3 linked regions of the Arabidopsis thaliana genome follow. The protein of the gene in region 1 purifies or fractionates together with the protein of each later gene. This does not show direct contact. Each region holds a gene or a part of one and is shown in the gene's direction. Other genes may lie near its edges. The genes, in order: AT1G07170, AT3G23325 and AT4G14342.

What was found.
Region 2: the proteins of AT1G07170 (region 1) and AT3G23325 fractionate together in Arabidopsis thaliana (co-fractionation; one large-scale study listed by BioGRID). This does not show direct contact.
Region 3: the proteins of AT1G07170 (region 1) and AT4G14342 fractionate together in Arabidopsis thaliana (co-fractionation; one large-scale study listed by BioGRID). This does not show direct contact.

What each region holds. Positions count from the first base shown.
Region 1 is NC_003070.9:2,197,579-2,203,133, forward strand, and holds AT1G07170 (PHF5-like protein), read left to right. Parts: upstream 1-2,418; 5' UTR 2,419-2,641; exon of another isoform or gene 2,642-3,059; 5' UTR 3,060-3,107; coding exon 3,108-3,440; 3' UTR 3,441-3,694; downstream 3,695-5,555. Other genes in the region: AT1G07160 (Protein phosphatase 2C family protein), read right to left, coding at 577-921, 997-1,341, 1,648-2,100; AT1G07175 (alternative NAD(P)H dehydrogenase), read left to right, coding at 4,804-4,894, 5,072-5,192, 5,493-5,544.
Region 2 is NC_003074.8:8,342,914-8,348,330, forward strand, and holds AT3G23325 (Splicing factor 3B subunit 5/RDS3 complex subunit 10), read left to right. Parts: upstream 1-2,856; 5' UTR 2,857-2,894; coding exon 2,895-2,900; intron 2,901-3,084; coding exon 3,085-3,170; intron 3,171-3,254; coding exon 3,255-3,378; intron 3,379-3,453; exon of another isoform or gene 3,454-3,743; intron 3,744-3,895; coding exon 3,896-3,943; 3' UTR 3,944-4,229; downstream 4,230-5,417. Other genes in the region: AT3G23310 (AGC (cAMP-dependent, cGMP-dependent and protein kinase C) kinase family protein), read left to right, coding at 1-36, 128-184, 288-442; AT3G23320 (Polynucleotidyl transferase, ribonuclease H-like superfamily protein), read left to right, coding at 1,716-2,291; AT3G23330 (Tetratricopeptide repeat (TPR)-like superfamily protein), read left to right, coding at 4,287-5,417.
Region 3 is NC_003075.7:8,251,683-8,257,925, reverse strand, and holds AT4G14342 (Splicing factor 3B subunit 5/RDS3 complex subunit 10), read left to right. Parts: upstream 1-2,321; 5' UTR 2,322-2,520; coding exon 2,521-2,526; intron 2,527-2,755; coding exon 2,756-2,841; intron 2,842-2,929; coding exon 2,930-3,143; 3' UTR 3,144-3,426; intron 3,427-4,089; coding exon of another isoform or gene 4,090-4,137; 3' UTR 4,138-4,390; downstream 4,391-6,243. Other genes in the region: AT4G14350 (AGC (cAMP-dependent, cGMP-dependent and protein kinase C) kinase family protein), read left to right, coding at 1-101, 197-310, 482-529, 1,020-1,104, 1,214-1,270, 1,365-1,477.

The sequences.
Region 1 (5,555 bases):
TTTGCATGTCTAGGAGAATCCACTTGGAAAACAACTTAAGAAAATGACATTGCACTATGTACTTAATACCGTACTAAACTTTCAGACTTTTCAATATTTTATAGGATTAAGGTAATGGCTAAGAGCCTAAGATATTTATGAACTAACGTAGTTAAGAAATACGCGTCCATATAAACGTAAAAGTAAAAAACTTTCAAAACATGAATTTTATGAACTCTTGAAACAAACCAGTACTAGCCTACACATTTAAGTCGATCCACATTATCTCATAAAAGAGTAGTAATATATAATGTATTGAGTGGTAAAGTACTCACATACAACTTACAAGCCTTAACGAGTTTTTACATAGAAGACCTATAAGGCTATAAGGATTATCAATAGAGAGTAAAGACAGTCTAAGATGGTATACACAAGTATCATAACAGCTCAAATGACTAAATGAAGTTAAAAACGAATAAAAGAATATGTGAATCATTCACAGTGAATGCTTAGAAAACAATAAAAAATAAAATGTAAGAAATTAAGAATGACTTCAGACTCTAACGTTGTTATTCTGTCTCTACATTTCTCCTATGGTCAGAAGAGGTGGCACAACTGAATCAACATCACACTAATATCGTCCAAGGAGCCTCGTGATACAGAGAGGTCAACGAGCTTCTTGCAAGCCAGCAATGGCTTCCGTTTCTGATCGGTCCCTTTGCAAAATGGTCGAGCTATGTCTACTGCCTCCTGATTACTAACCTTGTCCCATAGACCATCTGATGCTAAGATCAAGAACTCGTGTTGGGGATTGATTCGGAGAATATTTATCTCTGGTTCAGATATTATCCATTGTTTGAGATGAGCATCTCCTATTCCTCTAGATACCGCTAATGATCCTTGAATTCTCCAAACACTATTGAATGTATCCACATAACCGCCCTGCAGGATTATCGTAATCAGAACCATGTAATCATGATAAAACCTAACAGTAACTTCTTTTGCAAGAATTCTTACCGAGCTCTCAATTCTGTTTCGTTCATCATCTCTGGAAGGGCGGTGGTCAGAAGTCAAGGCCTCCGCGAATCCTCCAACGCTCAAAACAGCACGGCAGTCACCAGCATTGGCCACCACAAGATTTCCGTCGCTGATCAGAGCCGTGACACAGCACGAGCCGCCCTTAACGTTTTTTTCCTTGAGAAACTCAGAATCAGTCGCTAGATAACCACGTTTTACAGCTTCTTCAATCTTTGACTCGTTCCTCCCACCAACTATCTCGCCAAGAATGTTACTACACAAGTTCTTAGCCGCAAACTCAGCCGCTGTTGGTCCTCCGTGACCATCATAGACTCCGAATATTGCCTGCGGTTATAAAAAAGCTAAAAATGTTAAATCCCCATTTTGTAAGTCACTGGATCTATCTTTTTTTTTTTTCTTGAACACTAGTCATTGGTTCTATCTAATCAAGAACTACTCATACAATTTGTCATATATATGATTCACTGAATTTTCTTATAATCTTTAGAACTTCTAATTTGATTCATTGAGTCAACAACACAGCATAAATAAATTTTAAGTTATATATTACCCATCTTCAAATCGCAATTCATACTAATTAAGCAATAATCAGTAAATAAACTCGAAATTACGGAAGAAAATTGAAATTACCTGTTTGGGATCTCCTTGAAGATTAGTGATGGCAGAGAAACGATCCTCCATAGCTTCTCTTTTACCTCTCTTGCAATAAACAGAGTAACCATCACCTTCCCTCTCCACTGCTCTACTCTCCTCCCTCGGCGTATCTGCATTCGATATAGGAGCTGCAATACCAACCGGAGCCACCGGTATATCAAGCGTCGTCGGTCGTTTCCTCTTCAGAATGCTTCCCGGACCAGAGTCCGATCCAAACCCTAGTTTAGCCGGCGGTTTCAGGAGACGGAGGCAGAACGGAGATGTGGGAGACGCGGCGGAAGGAGAAGTAGAAGAAACGGGAGGATTGAGATGGGAAAGAGACAGGGTTAGGGTTTCATGTGCCGGAGAAGTGTTCAACGGTTTGTTGCAGAAAAGAGACGAAGACGGAGAGAACACCGGTGAGTTGCAAACGGCAACTGAAGACGACATCGTTTCGTAGAAAACTTAAAAGTTTCCTTTTTCTGATGATTGATTTGATTGTTAGTCTTCTAGACGTTTGTGTTTCTCTGTTTAGTGTCAACGAGAGAGAAGAAAGAGGCTTGAATATATAATATAAGACCTGGACAAGTCTTTCTCTGTTTCTCTGTGGCCGTTGCTTCTTCTTCTTCTTCCAGGTCAAACGTTACCACTCTCATCTTTCTCTTTGACTTTTTCAAATCATGAATCCACCGCCACAGTCCATTTTTTCTGCTTTTTCTTTGTCAACTGCGATTTTCCAGAAATTAAATGACTTTGGGAAGATAAAAAGTCAAATAAGGCCGAAATAGGAAAGAAATCAACACCTAAAATTAAAAAGCCCATCAGGAAAGCCTTTAATGAGATAGCCCATATTAAGTCGGACCTACATGGATCTTTAGAAACCCGACCCGGGTCGTTTTATTTGCAGAGCCATCTCTTGTTCGGATCGGCGGCTCGGAGATCAGGGATCGCTAGTTCAGACACCTTCTCTTCTTCTTCGTTCTCCTTCGAGGTTAGTTTCGATAATATTTTCCTTTGTTGTTTTTTAACTTTGATTTATGCGTGATAGATGTTACTGATTCAGAAATTTCGTTCCGTGTTCATGTTTCTCTGAATTCTTAGGGTTTAGCGTTGTCTATGCTTATTCTTTTGCGCCGCTCCGTTTTGGGCTCGAACAGCTTTCTCTTGTTTATCTGTGTTCGATTCAGCGAATTGATGGTTTCCATTGTTGCTTCGTTTCTTGTTCACTTTTCAGTGAACTTCAAGAATTTACCGTCGTTCCATTGATTTAGCTAGAATTGGATATAGAAAAGTTTCAGCTTGAGTGGAACTGTAAGTAGAATAACTGCTGCCTGATAGGTGTTTGTTGAAATGCCTCTGAGAAACAAAAATTGTGTTTTCTTTACTTTGTTAACCAATGTTATTTGCAGGTCAAAATCTTCTTAATCGAGGAAGAGCAAGATCTTCTTTAAGCAGTCATGGCCAAGCATCATCCTGATTTGATCATGTGCCGGAAACAACCTGGCATTGCTATTGGGCGACTGTGCGAGAAGTGTGATGGAAAATGCGTCATATGTGATTCCTATGTCCGCCCGTGTACTCTGGTTAGGATTTGCGATGAATGCAACTATGGTTCGTTCCAAGGGCGGTGTGTCATATGCGGAGGAGTTGGAATCTCGGATGCTTACTACTGCAAAGAGTGTACACAACAGGAGAAAGATAGAGATGGTTGTCCTAAGATAGTCAATCTTGGCAGTGCCAAAACTGATCTGTTCTATGAACGTAAGAAATATGGATTCAAAAAACGATAGTAGTTTGTTGTTACTTGAGCTATTGATCTTTTATTTATTGATGCTAGGAAAGTGTCTGTACTTGTCTTGTTTGTGTTAAGGAAATTTTATCCGGTGAAGTAATTTAAGACATGGGTTCAAACTAAGGATTATGGTTTGTTGATTTAGTCAGCCTTATTACCATTGCTATGGTTGGTTACTGTTTCTTAAGTGGTTGTCAATTATGTGATTGTTAGCGTTTGGTTGTCCATAAATATGATTCAGTTGGTGGATTAGGCCTCGGAAGTTTTCTGGAGAAACACCGTCCCTCTGTGTTTGCCAATGAATTATCTGACTCACAAAATTAACGTAATCTTGTGTATAAATCAACTTCATTCTTTTAAGTTTTAACAGCATTACCACTTGTGAATTCAGCTATGATTGAATACATAGCTGGGCGATAACTATAATTTTCTAGATAAATGTCAACTTAAAACTTTAAAGAATACGCAATAACTCTGACTCTCTAACGTCGACAAAAAGGTTATCATCCATTACATAAAAAACCCCACATGATCGTCAGAATTCAGAAATATTCGTTTTCAAAGTAAGGAAACCCCAAAATCCCTTTTTTGGGCCAAAAATATAGACGTTGACTTTTTATATCGGACGGTGCCTGTAAGTCAACTGCCCATGCATGTTCGCTTCGTTTATGTGTTAACTGTTAACTTAACAGTGTGGAATCCACAATTTGTCTGCAATAGTCAACTCCTATCTCCAATAAGACAATGACACGTGTTAAACATCAGCTACTTTATTTCGAAACAGATCCTGTATTTCTAGCCGAATTAATTCAATCATAATCTAAATAATTGCTATTTACGAGTCAAAAAATATTTAGACGAAAATTTGATATTGTAGCTAGCCATTAAGAAAAACGTTAATTTGTAAGAAACGTTTACGCTGATGATTTATTCAGGGAAGACCACTGAAACAATGAAACACAAGATTTATATAGTGATGTAAAATGTTGTAATAGACAGACTTTTAATATCAAAATATTTCAAACCACATGCCTTTGCAGGTATCTACACCAATCTTTAATCAAAATGTTTTAAATTTTGTTGTGCCCTAATTCCTTATAAATGTATTTTGCTCGAATTTGGGTTAGACATTCAAAATGATATGTTTGTAGGAATGCTTCCATGTCAATAAATTGCACTATTCCGGTTATGTAGCACTGTCCGAAATATATATATTAAAGTAGTTTGAAAAATAAGGTTAATTAATCTTTATTATTAATGAATACATTTCCATTTCACGTTTATAAAAGGAGAGGGTTACGAGAGATATAGTTGAATAGAGAAGAGAAAGAGGAAGAGAAAAAGGGGAAAGAGAAGAGAAGATGGTTTTTTGTTATGCAATTCGGCTGTGTTTATGCATTTTCTTGGCACTTTCAATCGTCTCTTCGGCTCGACTAACTTTTTCATTTTCAGGTAAGAGAAATCGAGCTCATCATCCTATCTACATACAGAAAAGATCAAATTTTGGAGTTGTATATAAACTCCTCATTCGAATTTTGAAATCCATAATAGTATATCGTTGGATTAATTACTTTCGTAATTATCTAAGTTTTAGCTTCGTAATATATGTTAAACCTGCATGCATGACAGAAAACGAAAAGATGATGGTGAGGGGTAGATCATTGATGGTGAGCACCAACGACTACGGCGAGCCATCGGCCAACGCCAAACACAATCCACCTGGAAGGCGTCGTGGAGGAGGTCGGAGAGGGTAAATAAATAAAAAGATAAAAATAAAAAAATATGGTTTTGGATACATTTAAGATCTTTAATTTTACTCATTTTCTCTCAGTATGTCATCTCTTTATATACTGAACAATAAAAACCTTCCATCAAATAATACGTTCTGATACATTAATAAATTAGTAATGAACACCTAGACTCGTATCTTCTAATCTCAATGTTTAATGAATGGTAAAAATAATTATTTAATTTTCCGTGGTCAACAATGCATAATCTTTTTATTTATTTTGTCTTCTTACCTTTCAAAAATTTCTCAACTTGTCAACAGAAAAAATAAAAATCCCAATAACAAAGGTGACAACCGAAACAGAAGCACATGACCACAATGCTA
Region 2 (5,417 bases), on another chromosome or scaffold:
TTGAAATCGTAAACCATGATCAATTACCAGGGATAGGTAGATCTCACTTACACAACAAATTTGACTTGTAAGTAAACATATTCCATGTTTGCTCTGTTGTAATTTGTGATTGTGTTTACTGTTGCAGCTGAGCTGAAGAAGAAGAGCACAAAGCCAAAGCGGCCATCAATTAAATCCCTCTTTGGTACTTATCTAAAAGACATTTATCACAATCTATTTCAACTCATTGTCTGATATTAGCATATGGTTTTAGCACTAACAAGAATTGTTATAAAAACATTTGGCAGAGGATGAATCAGCCAGTAGCACCACAAGCCACCAAGGAAGCTTTATGAAACTCTTGCCAACACAAATCGAAGTTCCAGAGAAAGAAGACAAATCAAGCTCATCTAGTGAAACCCTATCATCTTCCACCACACGTTTCGACAATGCCACATCCTAAACCAGACTCTTTGCTACACTTTGGTCCCGGTTAACACACCAAAACACGGTTTGAGGTGGCGGATTTACGGTTGGAGATAGTACAGTTTCCATTGTGGCGGTGAAGGCTATTGTGTGAGAAGATTAAGGATTTGTTCAACAGTTTCTACATAGGATAATATTTGGTTGTTCAAAAGGTTTAGTTTGAAGCAAAAGGAAGTAAATAGTCATTTTCAGAATGTGGTTTTATTTATTTGTTTGATTGTTTTGTTTGGGTAAAAATCAAATTTGGTTTGTTTACCACACAGTTCTAAAGCGGACAATGGGAAAAATGTCAAAAAAATCATGAACTTTCAAATTTGGGACGAAAAAAACATGAACTTCCAAAATGCCATTAAAATCGTAAACTTTTGTTTGACTTTTGATAAATAGTCAAGTTTTGTTGACTTTGCCATTTTGAACATGTCGTTAAGTTTTCGTTAACAAAAAGATAACGTGATTAATTTTCTGTTAATTTTTTCTGTTAAAAGCGAAACGACGTCGTTTTGAAATTAAAGAAAAAAACAAAAAACAAACACCAAGTAGAGTTGAACTGGTGACCTTTTAGGTGCTATTGAAGGACTAAAACCATTGAGCCACGTTAACTTTTTAGAAGTATAGTAAACATATACATATATATATATATATACGTAACTAATTAAAAATAACCAACTAAAATAAATCAATAATATAGAAAATTACCTAAAATTTACACAATCCTTCTCATATGAATATAGGATTAATCTATACATGCACATAGAATTTCATTCAACTTCACTTTATATATAATTTTATTTATAATAAAACATATATTTTATAAATTAATTTGATAAATATTTAATAAAAGAAAAATATAAGATCATTATTCCGTCTTCAAATCAATTTTTTTATTCATAATTAGATGGAAAGTATATAAAAAGTTATTTTTTGGTAATATATTTATAGGTGTTATATTTCACAAGTTTGATTTTTATATAATTTAAGAGAATTTTTTTTTAATTCAATACGTTTAATAAAAAAATTTACATTGTTATTTGAGAATATATATTAATGGTAGGTGTATTTAATATTTTTACATGTTTAGTTATTGTTTTTATAGTTCGGTTTTTATTTGGTAGGTGCATTTTTATAATTTACATCATTTTTAATATTTTTATTTGCCATTTTGGTTAATATGGAGGATTTGGAAGAGCCGGAATGATTTAGTCTTCAACAAAAAAGCAATCGCTGTCGCTGATGTGATAAACCAAGCGATAATGGACACGAAAGAATGGCTGGATGTTAAGCATAAAAATGATGACAACGTCAAAGGGGGCCAAACCAAGTCCTCAAGAACGGACAAATGGCAAAAACCAGGAGCAGAATGGGTCAAATGCAATTATGATGTCTCTAACCATGCGGGAAGACAAGACTCAGGCCTCAGATGGATTATTCGAAACTCACAAGGAACCTGTTTGGACTGCGGCTGCGGGAAATTTCAGGGTCGACAAACAATAAAGGAAGCTGAATGCACTGCCCTCATATGGGCAATACAATGCGCTTGGGATTTGGGATATAGGAGAGTAGAATTTGAAGGCGACAACATCACAGTTAATCGCCTTATTCGAAACAAAGAAACTAATCCACGACTTCGATACTATTTGGAATTCATTCAACAATGGAGCAAAGCTTTCACCACTGTGAAGTTCACATTTCGACACCGGGAACAAAACGTTTGTGTTGATGTTCTGGCGAAAAAAGCAGTAGCTAATCATATAAATCATACTCTATATCATTTTTGTCCTAGATTTCTAATGTCGTTTGTAAACAAAGATGCTGAACACGTGAATTAATAAAGTTATTGGAAGGAAAAAAAAAAAAAATAGTTCGGTTTTTAATTAGTTTTGCGTATATATATATATATCAGTTTTCATTAATATCGAAATGTTATCATAGCATATTGGTTGAGCGCTTGTGATAATTTAGGAGGTTCACGAGTTCAATCCATTCTTGGCGCAAATTTTAATATATTTTTATTTTGAAACGACGTCGTTTCGCTTCTAACGGAAAATGTTAACGAAAAGTTAACTCCGTTATTTTGTTGTTAACGGAAATTTAACGACATGCCCAAAATAGTAAAGTCAACGAAACTTAATCATTTTATCAAAAGTCAGACGAAATTTTATAATTTTAGCGGCATTTCGGAAGTTCACGTTTTTTTTATCCCAAATTTAAAAGTTAATGATTTGGTTTGATTGAAATGTCCGGTTCTGGTTTGGTTTTCTTTTGTACCGGTTCTCATAATAATAGCCACGTATTAAAAATTTATTAGTAATGGATTTGGGCCAGACCCATTCTCAAAGCCCAATCAATTTCTCAGTGAAACATATATAAACCTAATTAAAGTGAAGCAGAAGTTGTATTCTTCTTCTTGCGAACTCGCTGAAGTCTGAAAGATGCAGGTTTGTCTCTCTCGATTCGAAACCCTAGTTACTTTTTTTTGTTCTTATCTCTAATTTTATACAATTTCTTGACGATTAAGCTAAGCGTAGCTGAAATCTGGGAACAATTTGCTTTAGTTCTTGTAAAGGTTAGGTTTTTAAGCAGCAGATAGTTATGTAATCTCACTTTTTTGTTTTTGTGCAGGCAAGTGATAGGTTTAACATAAATTCTCAGCTTGAGCATCTTCAAGCTAAGTATGTTGGTACAGGTCATGCAGATTTGAGCAGATTGTAAGTATTTTTCACTTTTTGTTTGGATTTTTCAGGATTCCAAAATTGTGAACTTATTGAAAATTTTGAATGTTTTTGTGTTAGTGAATGGACTGTGAACATTCAGCGTGATAGTTATGCTTCATACATTGGTCACTACCCGATGCTTTCTTACTTTGCAATAGCTGAGAACGAATCTATTGGTCGAGAACGTTACAACTTCATGCAGGTTTGTTTACTATCTTTCTTCTTGCATCATGTCAAGGAATCATATTGAGAATGTTAATGTGTTAGTGTCTTAAGGGAGAGGAACAATTAGGGTTGTTTCAAACAGGGTAAAGTGTTCCTGCTGCTCCCCTCTTTAGCTTGGAGAAGCCAGTAAATATCTTTCTCTTCAAGGAACTTGTGGGCCTCAAGAAAACCTGCTATAATTCTAGTTTTTCAACATTCCTCCTTCTGATATCAGCAACAACTCCTTACCCTTAAGAATGGAGAATGGAACTTCCTCAAAGATATTTACTTGGCCTCTGCAACCGGAAAGGGGAGCAGCATGAAACTCTTTTAACCCTTACCCTGTATTTGTCAAAAACAGATTGTATCATATCGTAAGTTAGCAGGAAACTACCAATCTTGAGGGTTGTTTCAAACTGTTATCTTCTGGTTCTTCTACACTCAAGAGTCAATGACTTTGCATTTTTGCTAATAGCTTTTACTAACTCCAAACTTCTTTGATTTTTTTTTTGCAGAAAATGCTCTTACCTTGCGGCCTTCCTCCAGAAAGAGAAGACGAGTAAGAGCTTGTGTGCATTTGAAATTAAAAAAAACATTCTACTTCTTAGAAGCTTGTGTGCAATCTTCTTTAACTGCTCCACCAATGTAATTGCCGAAAAGGCTTCTTCTTGTTTCTAGTTCATAATGCAGTTGTTGATCATGATCTAAACATTTGTACTTTGTTATAGTCTTGATACAATTGTCAAACTCAAAGTCTTTTTGCTACTCGAACAACTATTGCAAAAGAATTGAATTGAACAAGTCATAAAAAAAAGAGGTTAAAAGTTGGAGTATTTAAATGAATGACGAAAATAAAAATCAAACCTTTATGTTTGCTAATGGTGAATCTCTGAGAAGGAGACAAAGATGAGTTCATCAAAAGCCCTAATCAAAACCCTGATTAAGAATCCAACTCGAATCAAATCCAAATCTCAAGCGAAGCAGCTTCACGCACAATTCATCAGAACTCAATCACTCTCTCATACATCAGCTTCAATCGTAATCTCAATCTACACAAACCTTAAACTTTTGCACGAAGCTTTGCTTCTTTTCAAAACCCTTAAGTCTCCTCCTGTTCTAGCATGGAAGTCAGTAATCAGATGCTTCACCGACCAGTCTCTATTCTCCAAGGCGTTAGCTTCGTTTGTGGAAATGCGAGCTTCTGGGAGATGCCCAGATCACAATGTGTTTCCTTCTGTTTTGAAATCGTGTACGATGATGATGGATTTGAGATTTGGTGAGTCTGTTCATGGGTTTATTGTTAGGCTTGGTATGGATTGTGATTTGTATACTGGTAATGCGCTTATGAATATGTATGCTAAGCTTCTTGGTATGGGTTCTAAGATTAGTGTAGGTAATGTGTTCGATGAAATGCCTCAAAGAACGTCCAATTCTGGAGACGAAGATGTAAAGGCTGAAACTTGCATTATGCCTTTTGGAATAGACAGTGTGAGGAGGGTTTTTGAAGTGATGCCTAGAAAGGATGTTGTGTCGTATAATACTATCATTGCAGGGTATGCACAGAGTGGAATGTATGAAGATGCTTTGAGAATGGTTAGGGAGATGGGAACTACTGACTTAAAGCCTGATTCTTTTACTTTGTCTAGTGTGCTTCCGATATTTTCTGAGTATGTGGATGTTATTAAGGGGAAAGAGATTCATGGGTATGTGATTAGGAAAGGGATTGATAGTGATGTATATATTGGGAGTAGTTTGGTTGATATGTATGCGAAAAGTGCTCGGATTGAAGACTCTGAAAGAGTGTTTTCTCGCTTGTATTGTCGGGATGGTATCTCGTGGAACTCGCTTGTAGCTGGGTATGTACAGAATGGTAGATACAATGAGGCTCTGAGATTGTTCAGGCAAATGGTGACCGCAAAGGTTAAGCCAGGGGCTGTGGCGTTCTCAAGTGTGATTCCTGCTTGTGCTCACCTAGCCACCTTGCACCTTGGGAAACAACTTCACGGATATGTATTAAGGGGTGGCTTTGGCAGTAAC
Region 3 (6,243 bases), on another chromosome or scaffold:
CAGATGAGGTTAGACTATCACCAGAAGCCAAGGATCTTATTTGTAGGCTTTTATGCAATGTTGAACAAAGGCTTGGAACAAAAGGAGCAGATGAAATTAAGGTGTTGTATGCGTTGTTCAACTTTGAGATTCAAAGTTCCCTTATGTAAGATCATTGTGTGCAATTCTTAAAAACGATTTGACTGGTTTCTTTCAGGGTCACCCTTGGTTTAGAGGCACAGAATGGGGAAAATTGTATCAAATGAAAGCTGCCTTTATTCCCCAAGTTAATGATGAGTTGGACACCCAAAATTTTGAGAAATTTGAAGAGGTAACACACTGATACTATCAGCTAATGATGTCTATAGTGAAATATTGGTGCAATATATGCCACCAAATGATGTGGCATGATGTATATACTGAAATATTGGTATCACAGATGATTTTTATGCTCCTGATAAGGAAAATAATGTATACTCTTCTTTGATTCCTTCTGGAACAGACTGACAAGCAAGTTCCAAAGTCAGCCAAGTCAGGTCCATGGAGAAAGGTACAGCATAAGCACTGACTTTTTGGCATTATGTACCATCAAGCTTTTTTTTTTTATCTAATAGAAGAGTGATCATACTTCAAAATTTATCTATAAGTGGGTTCCTTGAGATATGTTGTTCTTTGATGATACTACAGACGTAGCTTAAAATATTACATGCAACAAAGAGCTCAGAATGATGAAATTGGCTCAGTTTCTGTCACAGGCGTTTCTATCTTTGTACTATATTCACAAAAACGTGATTCACTCTTTTAGGTTCAAATTTTCTTATGGTAATTTAGAATTTGGAGCTGATTGGGATGCTACTAACAGAATTATGTTGTTAATCTGCCAGTTCTGCATGTTGACGTGTGTTAGATGAATCACTTATCTTTTTGGACCAACATGATATAACTTAGAACCTGTTCTGTCAATAGAATTTATGTCATGAACCAAAAGGATTCTTGTGAATTTCATAACATGACGCTGGCTTTCTTTTTTTCTTCTCCAGATGCTCTCATCCAAAGACATTAACTTTGTTGGTTATACTTACAAGAACGTAGAAATCGTAAATGATGACCAAATACCAGGGATAGGTAATTCACTTAACCCCCCTTCCGTTGCTGAGGAAGAAGCAACAATACTAGATTACCTTGTGATTATCATCGCATGTTTGCTGCATTTGTAATTTGTTTTATTGTGCAGCTGAGTTGAAGAAGAAGAGCAATAAGCCAAAAAGGCCGTCTATTAAATCTCTCTTTGGTAAATCATCTGTTTGTATGCTATTTGTAAAATCAAGATGATTACGATCCATGTTTGATTCTCTCTAACCAAACTGTGGAAACTAAATTAACAGAAGACGAAACATCTGGTGGGACAACAACCCACCAAGGAAGCTTTTTGAATCTACTACCGACGCAGATTGAAGATCCAGAGAAAGAAGGTAGTAAGTCGAGCTCATCCGGGTGAATTTCATTTGACACATTGCACAGCCTGAACCAGAAGACTCTTGTTATATTAACATGTGTGTTGTTGATTTCGTTGAAAGCCTTTTGCTTTCTCTAAACGACTGTTAAAAGTTGGAGTTAGCAGGGGTTTTTCAACAAAGTACAGTCTCTCCAGTGGAAGCGAAGGCTCTCCCAGAGGAGAAAGATGGATTTGTTTAATTGTTTTCAACATAGAAAAGTGAAAAAGTAAATATTCTTTTCGGAATTGGCTTGTTTATTTATTTTCACAGGGAGAGAAGGTGAGCTTTGGTATTTGATTTTTTTTTTTTTGGTTAATCAAAACTTGGTTGTACTACTAAACCTCAAGATGAAATCTTCACCCTCTAATGCTATAAGCAAAAGTATTTACTATTTATTAGATTAGAAAAAGCGCCAATCTGAAAAACTGTTCTCACTGAATGTGTTTAATTGAGTACACTCAAGAGTGAAACAGATGGCTTAATGGCACCTCAGATTTGGTGCTAAAAGTCTACAGTCTACACTATATGTAGGCCTTTGGAACCAATTGCGTGTGAAGACTGAAGACTAAAAAGTGCATACAAAAGAAGTAGAGAACAAATGTACCTCTATGAGTATTCGTAGGCCCTTAAGAGACCTTCTTCAAATGTCAAAATAGTATAAAAAAGAAAAAAGACTAAGTGTGGCTGCTGGGATTCGAGCCCAGGTCCCCACGGCCACAACGTGGGATTCTAACCACTAAACTACAGCCACTTTTGTTTGTATTCTGTAGATTGATAATGATTAAAGAATCCACAATTGTTAGCCAAATTCCAAGCTTCTTGCCTTAACTTCTTTATTATGTGAAACGACCACGTTTTCATTTTATGATCTACTACTTCGGGTACACCGAACGAACCGGTCGGTTATTTCGGATTTAAATATTAACCGAAAACAATTAGCAGATAAAGGACTTGAAGAAAGATAGGGTTTAGATCTTCTTCTTCTTCTTCTTCTTCTTCTTCTTCTTCTTCTTCTTCTTCTAGTTGCTGCGAAACTCTGAAAAAGATGCAGGTATGTTCTCGATCCGAAACCCTAGCTTTTGTTGGTAAATTGGAAGAAGAAATAACCTAATTAGCTTCTTCTACCTTTGATTCTCTGTCTGTTTAATTTATCTATGTCGAAGAGAATTGGCTTAGACGAAATTAGGTCGATTTGTTTCTTATAAAGCATATATAGATGAAATCGGGAACAATTTGCTTTAAATTTAACATCTTTTGGTTTGGGTTTTTTTCTTTTGCAGGCAAGTGATAGGTTTAACATCAATTCTCAGCTTGAGCATCTTCAAGCTAAATATGTTGGAACCGGTCATGCTGATTTGAGTAGATTGTGAGTTTCTTTTGATTTTAGTGTTCAAATTTTTATATGCATTGTTTTTATTGGCTACTAATTTGTGGAATTGGTTTAAATGGTACAGTGAGTGGGCTGTGAACATTCAGCGTGATAGTTATGCTTCATACATTGGTCACTACCCTATGCTTTCATACTTTGCTATTGCTGAGAACGAGTCTATTGGACGAGAACGCTACAATTTCATGCAGGTTTGCCTCCTTTCATGTCTTTTGCATATTACTTTCTCTAGTGACAAATCTACAGTTCAAGATTTGGATTATGATTCTATGTTTATTTGATTAGGTGCGTATCATATGGTTATGTAACTTATGTTGCCTTCCAGATTTATTGCTTTGTTGTATGGTTTTTAGTTTACTGTTAAATGTCGTATTTGTCTATTCGTCGTGATATTTTGATTTCTTAGACCATGGACTTCAGTTTTGACTGACTATTTCAGCAGCCTCTAGTTCTGTAGGATACAATTATATTAGAGAGCGTTGGGTCATGGTCTTACTCAACTCGGTTGGTTTCGGTTTATTCGCCTCTTGCATGGTTGAAATGTGTGATAGGTTAGAATTTCATGTAGGTTTGCTTCCTATTCTCTGTGTTAATAGGAATCTTATCAGTAAAATTCTGTACTTTCCTTTTGCCTCATCCTTTATCTAGTGACAAATCTACAGTTCAAGGTTTGGATTATGATTCTATGTGTAGTCGATTAGGAATGTATCATTTCGTGGTTATCTTGTGGTATATCTCATTCCTTTTCCTTTTCAGATTCATTGATTTGTTGTATGGTTTTAGTTTAGGTCTTGTCAATGGCGTATTTCTCTATTTGTCGTGATATGTTGATTTCCTAGACTATGGACTTCACATTTCACTGACCATTCAGCAGCCTCCAGTTGTGTAGGTTACAATTAGATTATAGAGCATTAGGTTATGGTGTGGTCTCTCACTCAAATGTTTTCATTTGTCCTCAATTCTCAAATTAATGGAAGCTTAGTTCCTTTCACAAACAGTTGTGAGCTCGCCTTGGCTTTCAGTTTTTTCATGAAACAGGTCTCTTACATGGTTGAATAATCTTGTGATAGCGATCTCTTATATCTGAATATATGGTCTTCTTGAGGGTTAATCGAAAAGCATAGAAAAATATGAATATTTGTGGGGTGTTCTTTGCTCAAAAAATTGGTTACACTTTGTAGATGTGATGATGTTTTGGAATAACTTGAGATGTCTTTTGATTTCCAGAAAATGCTATTACCCTGCGGCCTTCCTCCGGAAAGAGAAGAGGAATAGGTGACATGAGGATTCGATTTGTCTTTCAAGTTATCAAGAACTCGTGTGATGGAATGTTGGTTTGGAGTTTTAAAAACTGTCCAATTTGATCTTCTGGTAGAGATTTATATGACTGTTAAAAAACAACTTTGTCTGTGTAAGTTTGCTTTTCTTGAATGTAAAAAACAAAACACCTTGGATTTTTAGGTTGGTTTTACACGGTTTCGTGTTTTAATCAAATTCATCAAAATTTTCAATTTTTGAACTATCCAAAAACCCGAATAATCCGACATAACCGTTATTGCATGCCTAGTTTGATTTGTTAAAAGTTCCCGACATAAATTCTTACCGTGGGATGTCCAAACGACAAGAAAACAACGGGTGTGACAAATGGACAAATAAAAGCAAAAAGCTTAGGCCACTTAAACCAAAAGCCATTTCATCAAACGTATTCTAAAATCTAAACTATAAATAATGTAATATCGTCAACGATGGAAGCCTATAAACACTATAGTTGATATAATCATACGCATCTATTATAAGCTTGCTTACTTATGGATAATTTTTCTTATTCTCTTTGACTTATTTTTGCCTAGTTTCATTGACCATCATAATACTTTAACAATACCGAAAGTTTCATAAACATTATAAAACTTTAGTCATTGTATACAATCCGAAAGTTTCATAAACATTATAAAACTTTAGTCATTGTATACAATTATCAATAAGTTTTGTTTCCCATGCATGTGAAATATCACTTGACTCAAGATGAATGGTCCTAACACGTTTACCTTTAGAGACACATGTTAATTTTCATATTGAAAATGAAAGTAAAAACAAAATGCTTAATATAGCATAGAAGAACATTAGCTATCCTACTAAATTACCATATAGAAGAAACTCATGAATTTCACACTGTGTTCATGAGTTCATCGAGAAGATCTACTAACGACATGTAAACTGGTTATTAAGTATGAGCTTGATTTCTCAAGACTCATCAACAAGTGTTCCATGTATCGACGTTACCAAGCGTTCGGGAGATCCACAAGTAAATGGATGCTTTCTTTTTTAAATTGTTTGAACTTTTATAAAATCAGGTCCTTTACATGCACTTCCAGAATCTGTCCAAGCGAGAGATCATAAGATAGAACAAAGTGATAATATGATAATATTGCGCTAGTACACGATTTGTTGACAGTTTAAATCCAAAAATGTTCATCAACATATTGGTACGATTAGTAAATGAGTAAAAAAAAACTTAAATAAATCAATGTAAATTGGGTGATGTATGTAGACTTAGGTATTGCACTAACTTGATTTTATTGATTCACAAAGTATAGTATTTATACAAGAGAGACATCTTATGAGATATACTCTAATCCCTAAAATATAGGACATAACTCTATCACAAGATATATAGTGATAATCTTAATGAGATTATACTCTATCCCCAATAATGTATCAAAATATATAAACGTAAAATGAAAATTTCAGCTTGAAAAATGACAAATGTAGAACTTTTTTTTTTGGTGGTAGATTCTGTTTTTAATAAAAATATATTATAAAGTTTTGCAAACTTGTTTCGTGTTGTTGTTGATTAAGTGATGTTTATGGTTATTACGAATTAGAGTTTTGGTCGTTAGAAAACAGAGAATTTAAATGTTAAACCGTGCACGAAAACAACTAATTTTTTCTTCTAAGTAATTAAAAAAAAAACAGTATACAAAAATAAAATAAAAAGATTCAATGAATGATAAATATTTACGTTGAAGTTTTGTCTTTCTTTAGGTTAAATTCAATTTTCACATATTCATTTCTTTATTATTCCCTTCTTCTTCTTTCTCTTTCTCTTTTCTTCCGCAAATCTCCGCAAAATCTTCCCTCAAACTCAGATCCGATTCTTCTAATTCTTTGTCCCCCCAGAGATTCTTCTTCTTTCTCCAAGTAAAAGAAAACAACTTTCTTTCTCTTTTCTTGCGAAAGTCCTCAACTTTCACCACTAAATCAGCTTCCTTCAATCACTGTGTTTGCTTTGGACCCAGTTTCTGATTTAGCGACTAGGGTTTTGATTGGAACCGTATTAAGTATATGAGAATCGGGTTTTACTGGTGAATCGGATTATCATCG